Tamandua tetradactyla: one gene and its partners. The protein of the gene in region 3 purifies or fractionates together with the protein of the main gene of each other region. This does not show direct contact. Links are inferred from orthologs where the notes say so. Each region holds a gene or a part of one and is shown on either strand. Other genes may lie near its edges.

The links.
Region 1: the proteins of MECP2 (region 3) and KPNA4 purify together in Homo sapiens (affinity purification with mass spectrometry; 3 studies listed by BioGRID and IntAct, counting the BioPlex papers as one, with this or other methods). This does not show direct contact. The link is inferred for Tamandua tetradactyla from reciprocal best matches to the Homo sapiens genes MECP2 and KPNA4.
Region 2: the proteins of MECP2 (region 3) and TBL1XR1 purify together in Homo sapiens (co-immunoprecipitation; 3 studies listed by BioGRID and IntAct, with this or other methods). This does not show direct contact. The link is inferred for Tamandua tetradactyla from reciprocal best matches to the Homo sapiens genes MECP2 and TBL1XR1.

Annotation. Positions count from the first base shown.
Region 1 is NC_135331.1:57,305,406-57,312,673, forward strand, and holds the start of KPNA4 (importin subunit alpha-3), read right to left. Parts: upstream 3,036-7,268; 5' UTR 2,757-3,035; coding exon 2,688-2,756; intron 1-2,687. UniProt on the Homo sapiens protein: Functions in nuclear protein import as an adapter protein for nuclear receptor KPNB1. Binds specifically and directly to substrates containing either a simple or bipartite NLS motif.
Region 2 is NC_135331.1:75,025,053-75,032,041, forward strand, and holds the start of TBL1XR1 (F-box-like/WD repeat-containing protein TBL1XR1), read right to left. Parts: upstream 3,036-6,989; 5' UTR 2,997-3,035; intron 2,325-2,996; exon of another isoform or gene 2,201-2,324; intron 1-2,200. UniProt on the Homo sapiens protein: F-box-like protein involved in the recruitment of the ubiquitin/19S proteasome complex to nuclear receptor-regulated transcription units. Plays an essential role in transcription activation mediated by nuclear receptors.
Region 3 is NC_135353.1:6,403,738-6,411,543, forward strand, and holds the start of MECP2 (methyl-CpG-binding protein 2), read right to left. Parts: upstream 3,056-7,806; 5' UTR 2,943-3,055; intron 1-2,942. UniProt on the Homo sapiens protein: Chromosomal protein that binds to methylated DNA. It can bind specifically to a single methyl-CpG pair. It is not influenced by sequences flanking the methyl-CpGs.

The DNA of each region.
Region 1 (7,268 bases), on a different chromosome or scaffold from region 3:
TGAATGCACAACCATATGATAATACTGTGAACCACTTCTTTTTTTTTTTTAACTAATACGAAGTCTTTATTCTTTCAAAGGAAGGAAATACTATCTTTTTATTCTCACATTTAGAAAGTTAAATATGTAACATGACACTGAGTGCAGCCAGAAACTCCAAAATAAACTTAGATTACTATAAAGAAAATTCCACATAAAACCTCAAATGCTCTTTGCCTCAGGGAGGCACTGTTTTCAAAAGGAGTAAATACTGAGGTTATTTCATTTTCCACAAAACCATTTAAAGAAATACCCCAAATGGAAAAGCAACCAAATGTGAACCATTGATTTTATTCTTTGGACAGACTGTATGGTGTATGAATATATCTCAATAAAATGACATTTGGAAAAAACTGTATACTTTGGATGGACTGTATGACACATGAATATATCTCATAAAATGACATGGGGGGAGGATCATGGTGTAGCCACTTTAGAAAACAATCTAAATAGAAAACATATGTAGAAAATATGTTTAAAAGGTTAAACATAGCTACCATATGACCAAGTAATTCCACTTCTACGTATAAAACCAAGAGAAATGAAAAACTTTGTTCACATAAGCATCTGTACACAAATGTTCATAGCAGCATTCTGCATAACAGCTAAAAGGTAGAAACAGCCCAGATGTCTATAAACTCCTAAATGGATAGCAAAATGTTGTATATCTGTACAATGGAATATTACTCCGCCAAAAAAGACATAAAGTACTGATATATGCTATAACATGAATGAATCTTGGAAATATTATTCTATGTGAAAGAAGCTAGTTATAAAAGATCACTATTCTATAGCGCCATTGATATTAAATGTCCAGAATAGGGAAAACAGGACTGGGGTAGGCGGGGAAAATTGGAGAATTACTGAAAATCGGTACAGATTCTTTGAGAGTGATGACAATGTTCTAAAATTGAGTGTGGTAATGGCTGCACAACTTAAAACTATACTAAAAACCACTGAATTATATACTTCACGGGTGAATTTTTGGATATGTGAATTATATCTCAATGAAGCTATCTTTTTAAATTAAACAAAAATGTAGGAGAAAAAAGGATTATAGGACCTTATCAAGCATTTAATTATTATTTTTCTGGACTTTGTAACTTTGTAGTTGTCGGCTTTTTAAATTAGTAATTTGGGGCGTTTTCTCATTCTAAGTAAATATTCATGTTAGTAAAAAAGTTTTTCATCACCTTGTTGCACAACTAGATAAGTTTACTAAAAATCATAAATCGTGCACTTAAAATGGGTGGCTTTTATGGTAAGTTATATCTCAAAGTTAATCTTTTCTTTTTTTATAAAAAAGGGAATTATAAGAAAAGTGACTCATGTTAACCTTAAAACAACCACAGAATTAACAGCCACCTCCCCAAACACCTAATATCCCCTATGAAACCCACTAAAACAGCACCAACTCCCTTATAGTAAGATTGAATGGCTATGTGGAAAGCCCCCAGTATAGTTACTATCTTAGCCAAGCAAACGCTCAAGGTTCAGAGACAGGTGATGAGAATTTTAAGAGCTCAGTATAAAATATGCCAAAGACAATACAAAACATATCACTTGACCCCTCTTCTTAAAAAAATAAACTCGATTCAGACGCAGAATGGTAGTATTAAAAAAAAAATCTATTCACCTAGAGTGTTAAAGCTGAAGGGATGTTTTCTATTAAAAATCTCAGTGATTTGTGTGTTTAACCCACACACTACGTAGACTGAGAACCTCTGCAGCAGCTGTATCTAAGACAATGAAGCCTTTTTTGTTTGTTTCAAATAAAACTTGATGGTGCCATTCCATAGCCCACCCATCCCCCACTACCACCACCAGCAGGTGGAGGGAAAGGATACTGTAGACTAGAGGATGACAGCTTTGTATAACCCTTGGGCTTTATATGTAAGAATGCAGCTGGTGGTCTCCTCTCAGGAGGGGATAAAAGATTTGTGGACAAGCTGAAATAAGGGAAATCCTTTGCCTGGAAGAGGGCACACCGTGAGCCACATCTTGATTCAGCTATATGCAGAGTAAAACACAGGCCGCTGGAAGGCACTGTTAGCATCACCAGGATGGCCTCTCACGCCGGGGGTGTTTTTTCAACGGAGAAGTTGACTCCTGTAGTTTGGATATTAGGGGGAGGCAGGGGTAAAGCGGGAGTCGGGAAGACCAGAAAAAATGCCTTTAAGTGAAGACGCCTCGGGCCTCCTCGCCGAGGAAGTTCCGAGCCCCACTAGGTCGCCACACACTAGCCCTCATCCCCCACCACCCTCCTTGCCCCGGCGCCAGACGTCGGGGCCCGAGCGAGAAACGGAATCTCCGCCACTGCCGGGGAGGGGGCCGCGGTCCGGCCGGGGCACAGCCGCGCCCGGCCTCCCGCCGCGCGGCCCAGCCCCTCGGACCCGCGACGGGCTGGCTCAGCCGGCAGGCCTAGGCCGCGCCGGCCGTTCCCAGGCACCTCGCTCCCCGGCGGAGGCGGACCAGGCCCGACACAAACTTCCCGGCGCATTAGCAAAGGCGTCACGGACGGGCCAGCCCCCAGCGCCATTCCCCCGCGGCCCGGCGGCGGCTCCCGCCCCTACTCCCCACACTCAGAGTCCGGGTGGAGAGCAGCCCGAGGCCCAAGGTCCCCACCCCTCCGGTATCCCCGAGTTTACCTCTAAGTCGCGGCCTTTGTTCTTGAAATTCTTGAGCCGTTGGTTGTCCAGTTTCTCGTTGTCCGCCATGGCCGGGCCGGTGACTCCTTCCCCCGCCCGGGCCCCGCGGGATCCGCCCCAACCTCCGCGCCGCACCGACACTCCCAGGAACCGGGCCGCCGCCTGAGCTGCTGTGCCCGCCGCGCCGCCTCTTCGTTCCTCCTCTCACCTGCCTCAGCCGCGGCCTTCTCCTCTCCCCGCCCGCCCCCCCTGCCCTAACCCCAGCGCGACTGCAGCTCGGGCAAAGACAACTGCGGGGCCGGGCGGCGGCAACGGCGGCGGAATGCGCTGCCGGCAGAGAGGGGGAGGCGGCCTCGATCTGAGAGCCCCGGCGCCGCGGCCACGCCCATCACCGCCAGCCCAGCTCACTGATTGGCCAATCAGGCTCCGGCGAGCTCAACCAATAAGGAAGGGCGATGGAGAGCGGGGGTGGAAAAAGCGAACGGAAAGAGGAAGCGAGAGGCGCTGGGAGGAAAGGGCCGGAGGCCGCGAGGGCGGGGAAGGGCGGAGGGAGGAGGGGAACGGCTCCGGCAGGGCTGGGCAGAGCCGCACCACGTGCCTCCCGGGCGAAGGGGAGGGAGCGGAAGAGAAGTAGGAGAGCTGAGGGGAGGCCGGGAACGGAAAGGAGAATCGCCGACAGTTGTTTTCTCTTTTTGCCGGGGTAGTCCCAGACGACGGGGGTCCAGGGCCAAAGCTGAGTTAAAGTACGTTCTCTTCTCCGCCGGTGGGTCATTTCTGCCAGGGCACTCCTAAGGCACTCCTCTGACTTTGCCTCGCCTATATTTAGGGTTGGGGAGCCCCTAGTTCCATTTCTTGGCAGGGGATCCCGGCTGCCATAAAGGTCCAGCCTCGGGGCCGGGATGGGCAGGGGTGCTGTGCATCAGGGCCCAAAACGGGTGGGTGGAGAAGGAAAGGGGCGCGTTAGACAAATCTGATAAAATCCCTCCGATTTGGTACTCGTAACAGGTAAAACTTGGGAGAAGGTGGTAACCCTGTGATGATACCACCTCCTAGTGATTGGTCTTAGAAAGTTGAAGAAGCTGCTTGGCCACGAAACACTGATTTCTGGAGAGCGAGGACCGTGACACCTGACTTAGTAACGTAATGGTGTAACTCACTTGTGAAAGGACATGAATTCCAAGGATACGTATCTTTACTAGGAACATCATTATCAGAAACAAATTACACAAATCACAAAAGAACATATTCAAATAATTCTGAAAAAGAGAGAAGGAAACAGTTTTAAATATATGTAAATACCAACGAATAGCTCCTCAAATGTACAGGGTTGTGAGTGGTCGACTGAACCTCGCAAGGAGGGGTTGGATGTGTTTAAATTTGGCGAGGTAAAGGCAGGAGTCTTGTACACATTCTCCTGAAAGAACTTTGGCTCCTAGTCTCCTTCCCTCCGATTTCCTTAGTGGGATATTTTTTAAGTAGAACAACATGCAGAGTTGAAAATAAAATAAAATAAAATGCGACTGTTCAATGAGAAAACACTTAAAAGTCAAACAAGGGAAAAAGTAAAGAGGAAGAAGTCAGAGGTACTACCCATATAAACGACTGAGCGCCCTTTAGCTGTGGAATGAAGAGAGCTGGACTTTAGGAGCCGTAAGAAGGTGTTAGAGTATGGAGCAAAAGGTAAAAACTTTTAAGTCCTTTGTATACTTTGTATACTTTCAGCTGAGCGGTGGCAAACAAAATGTGCCTGGAAGTAATGTTAACCTGAATGTAAATTTAATACAAATTTAAAAATGCAGATTATGAAGTTCATTATAAATCTTTGTTCTTCAAAGAGTCATTTAATTGATGTAGCATAATATTTGCATGCTGGAGCACTGGTATTTTTCAAAATAAGTTTAGGATAAGAAAATTCAGTTGAAAAGCTGAAGTATATGTGTGTTTTCCAACAAATCGTCATGAGCAGATCTCAAGAAGACATTACTGACGAATTCCCATCCTGTGATTAGACATTATACTGCCAACATGCACATATAAATGAATATTTTGCTTCTTGGAATAAATTCCATAATAATGTTCATGATGAAGGTTATAGAATTATCTGCCATTATACAAGGCTTCATGTCTCTCAAGCTACAACTGATTTTATCTGATGAGTAAACAGCTCAAGGATCTTTCTCACAGATACTTCTAAAAAAATGGTGTGATTACAACAGTTAACTGAGAAGGATACAATATATACAGGAAATAACCACAACTTGCAATTTTATTTTGTTTTACTTGTTCAATGTCTGTTTAAGGTTTGTCTCCTTCTCTAGATAGTAAGCTCCCTGAAGTCAAGGACCATATTTGTTTTGGTCACTTCTGTATTTCTAGCACCTAATAGTAGTGCTTGGCACATAGTATGCACTCCATGATTATTTGTCAAATGCAAGAGTATGAATGACCTAAATCTAAACTTCTTCAAGTATAGGCCCTACAGTTGAAAATCAAGACAAAAATGTGGATTATGTTGTTATTGCTTTCTAATTTACTCTGGATTCCTTGCTAGAAATTCTCAATGTGGTATTATGCTCATTCCAGGGTTAAAGTTAAGGAGTACGGGAACTTTTGACACCTTGGTGACACATAAGACTCAGAGTAGAGGTTCTACAGTTCTGAAGGTCAGCGTTGCCACATACAACAACTGTTAAAGAAATTGAAAAAAAGAGATCAGATTTCAATTAGAGTTAAGACTGAAGCCAGTCAGGTCAGGAATAAGGTAATTCAGAATACAAGGATAAGGAAGACATTGTCTATATTATAGAAACTTCACCTACTTTATGAGACCAAAGGAAGAAAGGTTTATTTTGTCTAGAACCTAAATATTCTATAGCACATAATCTAACTCAACCTGTCTGGATAGATCATTTAAACACCCCAAACACAGGCAGCCCAGAATGGGAATGGGGGCCTACAATCCTATATAGCTTAATATAATGCCCGCATACATCTCAGAGTATATTAAACAGATAATCAAAAAAGTATTGGCAAGTCCCTTGAAGGATGAGAGAAAAAATATGACTGTTAAACTTTACCACTGGGGAAACTCCTGATACTGTCTCAAACATTAAGAGACTCTCAAGTCATTAGGCCAAGCCCTTGATCTTGAGGCTTGCTCTTGTGAAGCTTATTTATGTAGCAGAGAAGCTTAGCCTACCTATAGGTATGCCTAAGAGTTACTTACAGAGGACCTCTTTTGTTGCTCAGATGGCCTCTACGCCCAATTCTGCAAGTGAAATCATTACCCTCCCCACTATGTGGGACATGACACCCAGAGATGAAAGTCTCCCTGGCAATGTGGGATATGACTCCCAGGGCTGAGCCTGACTGTAGCACCATGGGATTGACAATTCCATCCTGACCAAAAGCGGAGAAGAAGTGTATCAAATATATCAGTGGCTGAGAGAGTTGAAATAGAGTTGGGAGGCTACTCTGGAGGCTCTCTTATGCACACTTTGGCTGGACATTACTACCTATCATAGTTTGCCAACCACCAACCAAAACCATTCCTGCCAACCCTAAAGAACACCTAGGGCATTTTCTGAGATTCTACAAAGGTTCTATATATTATGATTACTTTCCAGAAACTTACAACCTCCAGATGGATTCCTAGGCCAGATAAGTCCTGAAACCCAGAGGAGCCAGCCTCTCCAGAGCATCAACTAGTTCCATCCTCCATCCCGTGTTATTGACAGCCCCTTCCAACATGAAAAAGTTAGAATGGGCATAGCCCAAATACCCCTAAAGATTGGGGGAAAGATCAAAGGAAATGGTGGAATTGTACAGCGAAGGTTGGGTTTAACAAATGAGTATGATTGCTGAATTGTTATAGTGATGTTTCTTTAAGGCTCTAGTGTCTTGGAGCAGCTAGAAGTGAAAACCTAAAATTGTGGAATTGTAACCCATACCAAACTGAAATCTATTCTACAACTAATTGTTGTGGTGTGCTTTTTTGTGTATATGTTATTTTTCACAATAAAAAAATTTTTAAAGCATGAACCATTAAAAAAAATAATTAAGGAAGTAGAACAGACATGGGTTTCAGGATAAAACCTTCCATATATTTAACACGTTTAAAAAGTAGTTGTGATACACTTTGCCAAGACAATTATCCTTAATTACAATTCTTTGGTAGTCTGTTTGCTGGTCTAAATTCTTCATTTGAAATGGTCTCTCTCTCTCTCTCTCTCTCTCTCTCTCTCTCTCTCTCTCTCTCTCTCTCACACACACACACACACACACACACACACACACACACACACACAGTTTGCTACCCAGTTTACATGTTCACATATGTTTGTACTTCCAGTTCTTCCCAGATACAGAATTTATCAAAGGGGTAAAGAAGATCTTCAGGGAGTTAGTAATAGCTTTTAAAGCTTTTTAAAAAAGCTTTTAGCTTTAAAAGGCAGATGGGCAACATAATTGGCAAGATATGGCAGATCTAACTATGGTTAGGAGGTTTCAAAAGTTTCATTTGCTAAAGTAAGGAAGTAGTAAAATGCAGAACCATTAATACCATTTCAACATATACTATTT
Region 2 (6,989 bases), on a different chromosome or scaffold from region 3:
TTCGGTTGGTGGAAGCAGTCTCTGAACTGGACCATACTAATCACCAATTCCTTACTATATGGCCCTGAGGTGCAAGCCCTTCTGCAGATGAGGATGTTTAGGTACAAAGTATACATGGCTCCTGTAACTGCTTTCCTTTTTTTGCATTCCTGTGACTTACATTGTATACATTATTTACAAGATGAGTCAAATTTGCATGTACTAAAATACAAAGTCCCAAACAGTGTCAAAGTTCCTGCCATCCCTTCCCCCTGGTTACCACTCACATCCTGCTATTATTTTCATAGATATAACAGTAAAAATGGACAAAACCAAAAAATTATCTCCACCAACTTGATCAAAATATGTTGAGTCAGAAATTCTCTGTAGTAATACTCTTGTAATTACAGAAGGGGATTCCTTTGTCAGCTACTCATCTGACTAGGCTGTACTTATATTTCATCACTATATATGAGCAGATATGTTGATTCAACAGGTTGTCATTCAATAGTCCATCAATCACATCTCTTTTTATCAGTAACTCCTATGTTTATCTTAAGCTACTGCCTTTTTTGCATATTAGCATGAAAGGCTCCCAGCACACAGGAAGCTGTCATTTCTTGTTCTCCTAGTAGGCATGTTTCATGGTAATCATGAAAAAAACCTTAATTAGATGGCGCAGATGCAAATATTAAAAAGATTCCTGGACATTACGTAAAAAGTTATTAAAAATGTTTAACACTTTTTGGAGCAACAAATGTATAAATACAACCTCTACAAGGAGCTAGTTATTTTACCACTAGTGTCTTCCATGAATAACCACAGTTATTTTATGTTACAATTTATAAACTATTGGTGAGTTTTGCAACAAATTTTAAGCCATTAAGGAATCACTTAAGTTCCTTAAGAGTAAGTAAAACTTTTTCCCTGGCACGTGTTTTCAGCCCCCATTCAAGTTTAGTAATTTGCACTGTAAATCTGATTCTATCTACTCCTATGTCTAAAAATAAACGATAGATTTAATGGTGCTGTTACATACACCACGCAATGTAGGATAGTAGAAGTGGGGGGAAAAAATCATATTCCAAACAAGCAGGAAAAGCTGTACTTAAGAGCAAAATGTACAAACATGCATCCCATGCCTAACCACTCTCAGGCATGTTTTCTTTCTGCCACCCCTCCCCCACCGGTAAATGCTAACTTTTCTAGAACTCTCAGTGATCATTTGGGAGAATTGCCATAAAATCCCATGATACAACCCAACATAAATGCCGTTTTCCTTAAGACAAAGCTGCCCTATTTCCCTAGACTATATACTTTTTAACATGGCGAGAACATGCAGCACCAAAAATCAGAATTACTAAAATACACCAATGTAGCATGAGTCTTACTTAACCAAAATGAAAATGAATGCCACTGGGAAACCCAAAAACTCACTCTCTGTATCGTCGATGTGTAACCAAGATATTATAAGTTGTTTTAGGTAAGTAGATAAAAGCACCACCAGGGCCTTCTATTACCCAATCTAGTGCAGGAGTCTTTAGTAAAAAAGGGGGAGGAAGACTACTTAATTATATACCTGGGGGGAGGGGGGAGATAAACCATTCAGACTAAAAATAACTCACCATTTCACCCACCATATTTTATTAGCAAGCTTGTTTAGACCAGCACAAGATTCTTGTTTGGAAAGCAGGAAAGCCAACAGAAAACTTCCCTAAGTCAACTGTAAATCACATAGGTTCTAACACCTCACTTTTGATGCTGCACAGTCCTAGGTTTTAAAAGCCACCTCAAGACACTCGGAAGATCTAATTTTCAACTAGGCTGCAACACTTCTCCTTTGAAATCGCCAAATTATTTTTAAGTGAATGTGAGCAGATATCCTAACAAAGGGAGCATTTTCTAAAAAGCCATTACCACCCCTATTTTACATGTAGCACACCATTTTCACAACAAATTTAATCTCGGTCGCCACCGCAAAGTGATGCCTGTTTCAGCAAATTAGGAACTTCCAAAAATACTGAACATGTTAATACATGCATGGCCTCCCTCGAGCTGCCATTTAAGATCAATACTTCACTTGCACAAAAGTCTGCTTCTGTTCAGGAAAAAAAAAAAAACGGTATCTTTTGCAAAAGGGGAAGTTACCGCGAAACCACCCTCCCAACGTGGCCTTTCCACCGTCAGAAAATGATGGGACTCTGTGCCACCCAAAACTTACCAGGAAGCTGGCAATAACTTTGCCAATTCTACACTTCTGAACCCAACTTCAAAGAGGGTCTAGCACATACCTCCTTCAGACGATACAAAGCACTAAGTTCCCGAGAAGCCCGTCCCCCAGCGCGGCCAGGCGGCCGGCGCGCCCCTCCCCCGGCCGGTGCCCCCGCCCCGGACGCGCCCCCCCCCCCGGCCGCCCGCAGCCCCCCAACACGAGGGCCGGGGCCGCGCCCGAGAAGGGGGCCGGCTCCCATCACTGCTGGAGGTTTAACCCAATAACATGCACGGAAAAGAGCTTTCTCCTCCGCTAAAAATAGGCTTATAAAGGAGTCGGCCTCATGATGGCTCCTTGATTCAATTTGCAGCAAATTCTTTCCCTGAAAGCCTCTCCCCCCCACCATCACACACACATAGAAAAAAGGGGGTGTAAATGCACGGAGGGGGGAAGGCGGGGGGTGAGGCCAAGGCGCACATTTTCGGGGACAACAACCAAAGGGTGAGGATCCCCCCGAGAACAGGGGAGGGTAGGGGCTGGGCAGGCACGTGAGCACCGCAAAGAAGCCAGCCAGAGGAGAAAAGGCGGGGGTGGGGGCGCCCTAAACGCCCTCCCTCTCCTCCCCTCCCCCACCCGCACGCCGGCTCCCCGAAGGGCCAAGTTAAAGAACCCAGCGTCCACTCGCGCCCATCCCCCCCGCAGCCGCACGGCCTGGCGCGACTCCCCCACCCCCCGCCGCCTCCGCCCGCGCCCCCCCCCCGGCCCGGCCCGCCCCCACCCCAGGGTCGGGGCCCCCACATCTTACCTGGACCAGGGCGGCCGCCGACGGCGCTCCCCCCTCCCGGGAATGGAGGCGCAAGGAAACTCCCCTCCCAGCCGCCGCCGCCGCCGCCGCCTCCAACCACCCCCAAAATAACCCCTCCGGGGGGTGAGAGGCAATTATAACCCCGGCGAGCGCGGGGCGCGGGGGCTGGGCGCGGGCGGGCGGGCGGGGGCGGGGAGGCGGCGCGGGTCCCCAGGTGGCGAGCGGAGGTGCTCCCGCCGCGGGGGGGGGGCGGGGGCGCGCACGGCCGGCGGCGGGGGGGGGGGGGCGGCGCGCGGGGGCAGGGCGCGAGCGGGCCGAGGAATTGAGGCAGAAGGGAAAAGCTGTTACTAAGGGAAAGAGCCAAACGGTTCGGAGCAGCCAACGGCTCCGCCACTCCACACCGGGGAGAGGGAGCGGGGACCAGCCAGGCGCAAATGAGCTCGCGAGGCCCGCGGCGGCGGCGGCGGCGGCGGCGGCGGCCGCGCAGCAAAACAAACCCGGGCGGCCTGCGCGGGGCGGGCGGGGGCGGGGAGGGGGAGGGGCGCCGGCGGCAGCGCGGCGGGGGGGCGGGGGGGGGCGCCGGCGGCCGAGCTCCTCTTCCCCTCCCCGCCCGCTGCGGCGGGGCTGGGGGCTGGGCGGCTGCGGCGCCGTCTCGGAGGAATGCAGCCCCGCGGCGCCGCGGGGGCACCGGGCGCCCCGCCCCCACCGTCCCCCACCGCCCGGGCGTTGGGCGGCTTTGGGTGTTGGTCGCGCGGCCCGAGGCCCCGGTGGGGGCGGGGCGCCCCTGGGTGCCGGTGCGCACTCGTGGGCACGTGCGGGGCGCGCGGCGCACGCATCCGGGGGACGTTGGTTGGGGGAAGGCTCTGGGCACACCTTTGTGTGCGTCCGTCCGCAGGGTTCTCGGAAGCGTACCTGCAAAGGTGTTATACCTGTGATGAGCGATATTTTTAACAAACGTAATCCAGAGCGTGGGATCTGTAGAGAAAACACACACATACACACACACACACATACACACACACACATATACACACACACACACAAGGTTTTTTTTGATACCAAACACAAAGCTGTCGTTGAAGTGTTTATGCCCAGATGTACTGGAGAATCAAACATACCGTGGGATTTACCGTGGGGTGGGTCTGATTGAAAGGGTTGGCCGGTCAGTTCTCATTTTTCAAAGATAAAATAATGTAACTGAGTGTTGGCTAAATATGTTCCTGTGCGGCATCCTCGACGGCACATGTTTATGCGCTGTGTGCACTTTGTGCGGGGTGTAGCACATCAGGGCAGCTTATTAAGTCTAACTTAGGTGAGTGATAATGTGACAGTGTGATTGCAGAAGGGAGGCGCCTCACAGTTTTTAAAACAAATGTGGCATTAATCTTTCTAATGCTCTCAGAAAGCAGGAATGGGGTTTTGACCTTTGTATAAGCCTGGAACATTAAAAGCAGCTTCCCTTTGATTTTAAAGTATGACTTGAAAGCAGTCTTTTTCTTGTTATTTTCAGTGATTACTGTCTTCAAAGCAAAATAATACTTTTGGCCGCCTTCTTAGGTGAGCGTTCTGTTTTTATACTTTCATCACAATATTTGCGAATAGGTGTAGTGGTTATTTTACGGCAATAGTCTTCTCCTGTCCTATGAGAGACCTAAGTTTTCACGTCAAAGAGGGAAAAATCATCACTTGAAGTGGTTTCTACAGGACTGAGTCCCGGGTGGCCTGATAAGCGGGATGTTTAGAGCAGGTGCTTTTTTTCTTTGGCCCAGTTTCCCCCGTGAGCCCCTGCCTAATGGGGAGCGGCCCAAGGCCTTTCCTGGCCGGCATAGGGCGGGGGTGGGCAGGAAAAACCGAAGAGAAAGGCAGCGGGTTTGGAAACTCCCTCCCAACCAGGAGAGAGTTCAAAGCCTATCAGTGGTGTGTCCTTAGAGCTATTTTCGTATATGAAAGAGGGAATGTTAGATTAAACAATGTCACCCGATGGGAATTTAGATAACTGCAGGTTTCCAAAACACTGTGTGCAGGGTACAGGCAAACAGCACAAAAAAAGCAAGTTTCACATTTCAGGAGGACTCTAAAGGTGAGGCCCATCTATCACAGAACTCTTTTGGAAGCGATGAGAGTGAAGTATCTTTCTATTTAAATATATATATATATCTTTTTAAGAGTTGATTAATGACGTGTATGTCACTAGCATTTCTGTTCTGTAAGTAAAGTGACTCAATACGATTAGGGTTCATTATCTCAGCCACCCAATGAAACGAATCCATTGGCCTAGATTGTTTTTCAGGTTTGACGTTGTGCCACTCAGGGGTCTTCTCCAGAAAGCTGCTGCTAGAAACTGAAGCCACCCTTCCAGTGAATGAGGACTTCCCAACCTTAAAAGGATACTCTCCAAATTGGGGGCCCCAGCCTTATCCTCCCGCATAATGTCCCTATTCCTTACCCCACTCCCTTCCTTAAGGGACATATGGTCCAGGGCTTCAGGCGCCAAGGTTTTGCACCCTATGGCCGCCTCCTCCCCTAACAAGTTGTTTGGTATTAACTGAGCCTCATCTCAAGGATAAGAATAACCCATACATTTGCTTACTGCATCATAGTTTACAAGATATTTATGCGCATAAATTACTACATTTGCACACCACAATAAAAATCACCAAAGGTGGGAACTTATGCTGTTCACTGCAGAGAGAACTGGAAAGAGAACCTTTGAGCAAACGATGCACCTAAATGTAGAAAAACCTCGATTCCCCTACGAAAGGGGTTTTTAACCACGTTCTGGTCTATTGATTCCTATACTTTAAGACCCTATCTAGGATGACAAAATGCCTTAAACATGAAATAAATAAGCTGCCGTACGAGGTCATATGTGTAGTTTATCTCTGTCCATTCCAGTGCATCTGGTAGATCAAGCAAAAATTCGACACATGGGGTGAGGTAAGGACAAAGAGAAGCAAATATTGTTAATAATTTTCAGGGTTTTGTCCTAATCTAAAAACTGTCCTTATGCTTTGACTATAAATGTTAATATGTTTCTAGAAAAGAGAAATTACTCTGTTACTAAGAAATTCTAAAGCAAAGGGACACATTATTAAGAAAGTTCTCTTGAACCTTCTAGCTAATTACCCAACAGATACCTCATACTGGTAACTGTTACCAGAAGTTACGTATGTGTTGTAAAATGACTAAACACACCCTGACTTGTTTTACATCACTACTATTACACCCGGGGGGATGCGGTACCACAAGATAGCCTACACCTGGGCAACTTTCATGGCTCAGGAAATAGAATGTTTTAAAGTAGCTTCATCCCAGCCTACAGGAACTCATTACTATGTATATGTATTTCAAGGCCACCATGATCTTTTAAATTGTTTACATTAGCCAGTCCTATGTAATTAAAGTGTTCAAAACAAGCTTAATAGCATGAAAAGGATATCTGATACCCCAAATATTATCCTGATGCTATAACTGTGTTTATATTCTGCACTCACCCCAAACTCAGTGGCTTTGTGTCCGTAGCGTTCACCCCCAGGCATCCTGCAGATGCCCTGTGATATTTGTGTTTCATTTTTACTCAACGTGTGCAATTCTTTGTCCGTGGCTCTTCAGCTACCAGTTTCTGCCATCTGAACGGATGTGCATCTCAGCCACACATCTCGCCATCTCAGCACACAAGCTCCCTTCCTCCATCTGTGCTTAGCATGCTGCTTATGACCTTCCCTCATCAGTGTGACCTTTGTCATAGTTTTCCATGCCTCTGTGACCTGATTTCATTACAACAGTGAACTCTACTTATCTTAATCTAAATTACAAAAGAAACACGCAACCATCTTGGAAGTATTTATGCCACTTGGGTGATGGAAATGCAGGGCTTATCTTGGGTTTGTGATTCAGTGAGAATGGAAAACTGGGCGCATACACATTATATTGCTGCCCTAGTCTCTCACTCACTTTCTCAGGGCATTGCATTATGCCAATGGTTTTGCTTTT
Region 3 (7,806 bases):
CCATCACTGTCAATCGCACCGCTGACGCTTCTGTGAGCCTAAAGCACAGCAAGTGGGCTCCACGGCGCAGCTTCTATCCTCTGAGCACTGCAAATACTACTTACTTTGAATGCCAAGCATTTTATGGTCTCTTCTCATAAAAGTAGCCTGGCTACAAACCGTGCTTATCCACTCATAAGATTTTCACTCATATTCATCCTCATAAAAGATGAGGGCCTTTAAGACACATCATTTATCATGAAAATCATCCCAAGAAGGTACTTGAGAGGTGGAAATTGGACTGAAGTAAGAAACTAACAACTTTACCTCTGCTTTTTTTTTTTTCCCCACTCAAGGTTACAGAAACAAAGTTCTCGGTCCATCTCCAGGTGGGGGAAGGAGTATTTGGGTGGAGGTAATTACATACTGGAGCCACCTAACCAGCCCTTTTTTTTTTTTCCTTCAAACTACACAGCTTGCCCCCGCCCCCCCACACCAGCCCACTGGAAATGACTGGCTGGAAACTGTAAACATAGAGCGCTTTGCCCCAGAACTACTTCAGGTTTCAAATAGCAAAAAAAAAGTCAAAGTAGGGTTTACTACATGATGCTTTCCTATCAAGTGGGAAAAAAAAGACCTGGCACTTTAGAGTTAAAGCACTCCAAGCAAATTGGAAGAAAAAAAAAAGGAGTTAGTACAGTGTGATAGGCCAGTACCAGCAAGAAAGCCGTACAAGGTTTCTTCCAGCTGTTAGGACACACTGATGTTAGATGCCACCAGGCACTTTACAGAGAAACAGATAATCTGGAAAACACCTAGACCGTTTAAAGGACTAGGGATATGACAAGACAGCTAACTGGAGGGACACCAGAGACCACCATATTGCCAACAATGAAAGAGAAACCAGAGACCTACTCATGTCACTTCTTAGATTCAGATGTACAAACCTTGAAATCTTCGTCAAGTGAGGCATGTGTGTCTGTGGACATGCAAGTATTCCAATGACAGGCCACCTGTCTGACCTGATGTGAATGAGTGATAGACGGCAGCTCATTTTAATCAATATACAAAAGCCAATCGTCCTTTTACTAGACTGACTATGCTGTCCAAGCTACTGACAACGTTCAGGTCAGAAAAATAAGAGTGCTTCTTAGGCTTTCTGACTGGAATTTGAAGTAGAAGTTCTGTAAAGTCCGTAAATAAGCCTCTCTCTTGAAATCTCTGATGGAAATTCCCGAAAGACCTAATATATCCAGACTTTTTATAGGGACCTAGCATATTCCAAAAGACCCAAGAGGGTCAGCTTAATCTCACAAGCCCAGCTACAGAGCCCAAATCTAGCTCTAGAGTAATAATTGACTATCAAGAGTTCAATTTTACCAGAGAGGTCTGAATATGCTTCATTTTTATAGTATTACGGAATGCCTCAAACTTGTGAGAGTCCCACAAAGTCAAAGCCAGCCAGTGCCACACGCGATAGGTTTGATTACATGATCACCAACCATTCTCTTAATTACATCCTGTAATCTCACCAATTCCGGTCACTGATCTGCACAGTAGAGATGCAATGTGTGAATGGCTCGGCAGAGCCCATTCCTCTTACTGGGAAAACGACCTGAAGTACCATGAGTCAGGAATATATCAATTTTACAGTGGAGCCCATTTCTGCCGTGACCAACCCACACCCGAAAACACAACAGAGAAGCCACTGACACGGGGGGGGGGGGGGGGGGGAATTTGCCATATACTACAAAGTTTATCGATGTCACAAACAGTCTCCTCCATGAGATCAATCTTTTTAGACTCTTCCCAATGACCTTAAGTCTTCAGTGCCAAACCCCAGCAACACTGCCACCGCCATATAAGTCACCCGAGTTTCAGTTGAGGCGATCCAGTCAGAACAGAACTAAAAAGAATAAACTTTCAGAAAAATTGATAGGAGCCACAGCAGTGCAACGAACTTGCCACATCTGGCCCTGGTGATCTTGTGCGGGGTGCGCTCCGGGGCTCCGGGAGCCCATTACCGACCATGTCCCATTACACTTATGTAACTGGAAGATCACTGGCGAGTGGGGGGGGGGGGAGGACGGGAGGGCGCTCATATTCCGAAACCAGAGAACCCCAAAAGGACCTTTGAGCTCCCTGGGGTCGCGCTCACACCGAGGAACCTCATGTGCTGCTAAGGTGCTGCCGGACGCCGAGTCCCCTCCCCACGGCTCCTGGAGGGTACTGAAACTACCTCTTTATGATGAGTTGTGGGACCCAAGAACACAGTGTCTGTTCCCTTTTGTGGGTGGGCAATCGTTCCCACCTACTTCTTCCTGCGAGATGCGCAAAGGAGATTGTGGACTGACTCGCTTCCAGTGGGGGCAGAAAGTCATGGAATGGGCGAGAAGGAGGGGGAGGCAAAACCTGGAGGGATGGGGGGGAGTGAGAGCGCAGGAGCCCTTGTGGCGCACTCTCCCGACGGCGGGCGAACTGCGCACGCGCAACGGTGGGGGGGGCAAAGTAACGGGAGAGGGGGCGCGAGAGGGAGGGAGAGGGAGAGCGCGAGCCAGGGAGAGGCCGGGGCCGGGGGCGCGGGCACGCGTCGGCGCCGCGGCCCGAAGCCCCGAGAAGGGCAGGACGCGCGCGCAGCCACGACCTGCGGAGCCCCGGCGCCTCGGGTGCCCACCGGGCCGGGGGCGGGGATGCACGCCGAAGGCGGACGGGAGTGGGGCCGAAGGCCCAGGCGGCGGCCCCGCGAGACAACGACGAGGACGGTCACCCGCGAGCGCTAGTGACGGGCCGAGGGGGGAGCCACCAATGGAGGCAGCAGGCGGGGGAGGGGGAGGGTAGAGAGGAGGGACGCCATCCGCCAGCCGAGTCGCCCGATCCCGCGGGCCCCTCCCGCGCCACGTCCCGCCCCTGCCCCCCTCCCCCAAGGAAGGGTCCCCGCCCGCGGCCTCGGCGGTACCACTCACAGTCTCTCCTCCTCGCCTCCTCCTCCTCCTCCGCTCGGCGCGGCGGCGGCGGCGGCGGCCATTTTCCGGACGGCTTTTACCACAGCCCTCTCTCCGAGAGGAGGGAGTGCGCGCGCCGCCGACGCCGAGACCCCGCACGGCGCGACGTCGCGCCCCGCCCTCCCGCCGGCCTGCGCACTGCTGCACCTGCGCGCCCGCGCCACGCCCACGACCACGCCCGGCGTCGCCCCGAGCCCGCCCGCCACTGGCTGCGAAGGCCGCGAGAAGGCGGGGCCCCGGCAGCGTGGCGGCGAATTGGCGGGAGTTTCTGTCAGTTACCGCCCCGGGAAAAAGGGGCGGGACCCTCGGTCGACCGCCGATTGGCTGCCGCCGGCCGTCATTTTGGGAAAAGAGGCGGCCGGGACCCTGAGGGGCTGGTTTAGTGGGCGGAATTTGGATGTGTAGAATTAATGGGCCCTTGCGGAAGTTGGGGCGAGCCGAGGCCTGGACTCCGAAGGCTTGTTGTGCGCGGCCCTGCGGGGCGGGTGGCCTGCTGAACACAAACGCCGAAATAATGCTGCCACTTCACCCTCATTTTCTCAGTAGCGCTGCCTTCAGGAGAAGCAGTCGAGTCCAGCGTTGTTACAGCCGAGGGCCTTTGGTTTAAGAGGCCTACCCGTGGCATGTTTTCAGCCGGGCCTGCCGCGTGCCAGACATGCTGAGGGGCGGGGACGAACCGAGGAGCAGATCCCAGCCCTTGCCTTCGCGGAACTGTGTTGGGAGGGGGATGAGGAGATCTGTCAAGGCTGTACGGGACTTGGATGCTTGGAACTGATGGTTTGCTGGAGGTGTGGATCAGAGGCAGTGGCAGAGCAGAGGAAGGAACGCTTGACTCCGCCTGGAAGGGGGAGGGCAGGCTTCCTAGAAAAAGCGATTGGGAAGCTAAGATCCAGCAATTCTGTTTCTGGAAAATATTTAAGAGTAGAAGAAAAGTTGCAGCCGAGGAGATGTTCAGGACAGGAGTGTTTGTTGTGGCGACCTTACCCTGAGATGGTTCAACATCCCGGTCCTTAAGCATTCCTTGTAGTGGTGCTATGCCTAGCAGAGAATCTTCTTATTGTGATTTGGCTTTCCCCCATTCTGTTCATTTATTGAATAGCTACTCCATGCCTGCCACTGTTCCAGGCTCTGCAGTTATAGCAATGACCAAGGCAGTGAACTAACTTTCTTGTGGGCAAGAGCCATACTAAATAGACAAACAAGTATATGATATAATGTCACATGGTGGTAAGGGCTTTTGAAAAAGATAAAGCCAGGAATAAGGGAATGCTATTTGGTATCCACAGGCTTTCTCCTTCATTTCATTCCCCCATATGGATATCTGGGGGTGGGGGAGACATTCCAGGCAATTTCCAAGGCCTAAGGAGAGACTGTTCCTGGCATGTTGGGGACTAAGAAGAAGGCCGTATGTGGCTGAAGAGGCGCCAGCATGTCAGATTAAGATATCTTCTCAAAAGTGAATGGAAAGGATCAGAAGAAGGGTACGGAGAAAGAGAAAAAACAGAACAAATCCCAAGTTTGGGTCTTGTGCAGCTGAGTGAATAGGGGTGCCTTTCACCAAGATGTGGAAAACTTCAAGAAAAGCATGTTTTTGGAGGTGCAAATCGAGAATTCTGTTTCAGCCATGTGAAGCTTGGGATGCCTATTAGAAGCACAAGTGAGATGTTGAGCAGGGATTGGGTGTATGATTCTGAAGCTCAGAGATGCAGCAAAAGCAGTCAACAGCCTAAACATCCAACTCAACAAGCTATAAAAGGACCCGTAGAGAAAATAGGGGGAAGGAAAATAAGGAGGAACAGAAACCAATGAAGTAGAAATAATACTGAGAAAATCAAAAGCTGGTTCTTTGAGAAGCTGAAAAACAAGCCAACTCTCTCACAAGATGGATATGAGAGAAGAGACATGTAAATGAAAGGAATGAACAGAGCATGTAACCACAGATACAACAGAGATTTTTATTTTTAAACAGGTATTATGAGCAACTGTATGGCAGCAAATTTGAAAGCATAAGCAAATTGAATACAATCCTAGAAAAGTACAACTTACCAAAACTGACTCTAGAAACAGAAAACCCAATTAGACCGCTGATAATCATTACAGAAATTGAATGTGTTGAAAAATCCGCCCACAAAAAAACCCAGGCCCAGACAGCTTTACATTTGAATTCTTCCAAATCTTTAATGAGTGTGAAATTCCAATTATATGGAGTTTTTTGGAGAATAAGAAAGGAAAGAAATCTCTCCAAACTTATTTTATGAGACTAAATATTGTTACTATAATGAGATGGGGAGGGAATGACACTGAATGGGCAAATAGATGTAAAAGAGCTAAACAAAACATTACTAAATTGAAGCCAGAAATTTATGAAATAAATGCTGTATCATAAGCAAGTTGAGCTTTTATCTAAGAATGCAAGGATGGTTTGATATTAGAGCATTAACTTTATATGATATAAGGGGAACAAATTGGTCATTTCAAAAATGCAGAAAAAGTGCTTGATAATACTCAACAACCACTTATGATTATAAAAAGGTTAGAGAACTATGAGTAGACAGGAACTTCCTTAATCTGATCAAAGGAGTGTATAAAGAACTTACAGCAAACATCATGCTTAATGGTGTTGTTCTAGTTTGCTAGCTGCTGGAATGCAATATACCAGAAATGGAATGGGTTTTAAAAAGAGGAATTTAATAAGTTGCTAGTTTACAGTTCTAAGGCTGAGAAAATGTCTCAATTAGAACAAGTCGATAGGAATGTCCAATCAAAGGTATCCATCCAGGGAAAGATACCTTGGTTCAAGAAGACCAATGAAGTTCAGGGTTTCTCTCTCAAGTGAGAAGGCACATGGTGAACACAGTCAGGGCTTCTCTCTTGGCTGGAAGGGCACATGGCGAGCAAGGCGTCATCTGCTAGCTTTCTCTCCTGACTTCCTGTTTCAGGAAGCTCCCTGGGAGGCATTTTCCCTCTTCATCTCCAAAGGTCACTGGCCTGTGGGCTCTCTACTTCTTGTGGCTATATCGTTCTCTGCACTCTCTGAATCTCTTATTCTCCAAAATGTTTCCTCTTTTATAGGATTCCAGAAACTTATCAAGACCCACCTAAATGGGTGGAGACATTTCATCACCTAATCCAGCTTAACAACCACTCTTGATTAAATCACATCTCCAGGGAGATGATCTGATTACAGTTTCAAACATAGAGTATTGAATAGGGATTATTCTGCCTTTATGAAATGGGATTTAGATGAAAACATGGCTTTTCTAGGGGACATACATCCTTTCAAACCAGCACAGGTGTTAAGTGAAGACACAGGAAAAAACAGAACAAGATCTACTATGCAATCGTTCTCTTTTAAAACTCACCCTTGGAGTTTCACTATAAAGGGAAAGACCTATAAAATCCCAAGTCTGTTCCCTGGTGTTGAGACCCAATCAGTAATAAAAAGCTGGAAAATGTAATTGAAAAAAAGGGGGGGGGGAATTCAGTTCAATATAGCTACAAAAATGATAAAATAACTGGAAATAAACTTAATAAGAAACACCAAATACCTATTTTTTAAAACTATAAAACTTGACTGGACAACCTAAATAAAGAACCAGAAAAGAATTAGAAATTTCCCTGTTCTTAGAAGGAAGAGTCAACATAATTAAAATGCCAATTCTTCATAAATAAATCTGGAAATTCTTTGCCATCACAATAAAAATCCAGGAGTTTTTATAGACTGCAGCAAGTTAATTCTGAATTTGGAAGAATACACATGCAAGACTTAAAGTCAAGGAATATTTAAAAGAGAAAAATAATGAAGGGGATCTTTTTCATTTTGCCAAAGCTGCTGGAATGTAATATACCAAAAAATGGGTTGGCTTTTACAATGGGGATTTATTAGTTTACAAATTTACAGTTCTCGGTGGGCCATGGTGGCTCAGCAGGCAGAGTTATCGCCTGCCATGCTGGAGACCTGGGTTTGATTTCTGGTGCCTGCCCATTCAAAAAAAATACATATATATACAGTTCTAAGGCCGTGAAAATGTCCCAATTAAGATATCAACACGGTTCCTGTTGCTGGCATCAGGGGTTCCTCTGTCACATGGAAAGTTCAATGGCTGGTGTCTGCTGGTACTTCACTCCAAGATTTCAATTGCTTTCAGCTCCTGGTTCCAGTGGCTTTGTCTCTGAGTTTCTGTGTATCCTCCCTTAGCATCTGTGGGGCTTTTCTCTGTAATCGCTCTTGGTTGTCTTTTTTTCTCTCTCTCTCTCTCTCTCGGTTGTCTTTTATCCTCTCACAAAGGACTCCAGTACTGGATTAAGACCCACCTTGAATGGGCTGGGTCACATCTCAATTGAAATAACCTAACCAAAAGGTTCCACCACAGTAGTTCATCACCCACAGAAATGGATTAAAAGTACCTGGCCTTTTTCTGGGGTATATAACAGGTTCAAGTCACCACAGGGTCTTGATAAATTCCATAGATTGAATAAATGACTCCTAAATGATACAATTTCACTCTTGTCGTTGAAAAGTAAAAAAAAAAAAATTAAGTATTTACTTTAGTAGAATAAAAATGGGATCATCTTTCAAATGGGACTGTTAACATCTTTTAAATGGGTCCCATTAAAATGGGATAGCAGAAGATAAAATCAAGGAAAATATAGTATACATGACGACTGACAGAGAACCAAATAGCAGGATTTGATCAATATGGCGGACTGAACACAAACTTCTATCCCATCCATCTAAACATCTCTTGAACTGAAAAAGTATGTAGGTTATTTTTTTTGAGATCTAGAAAGGACTTTGGTCTAGTTTGCTAGCTGCTGGAATGCA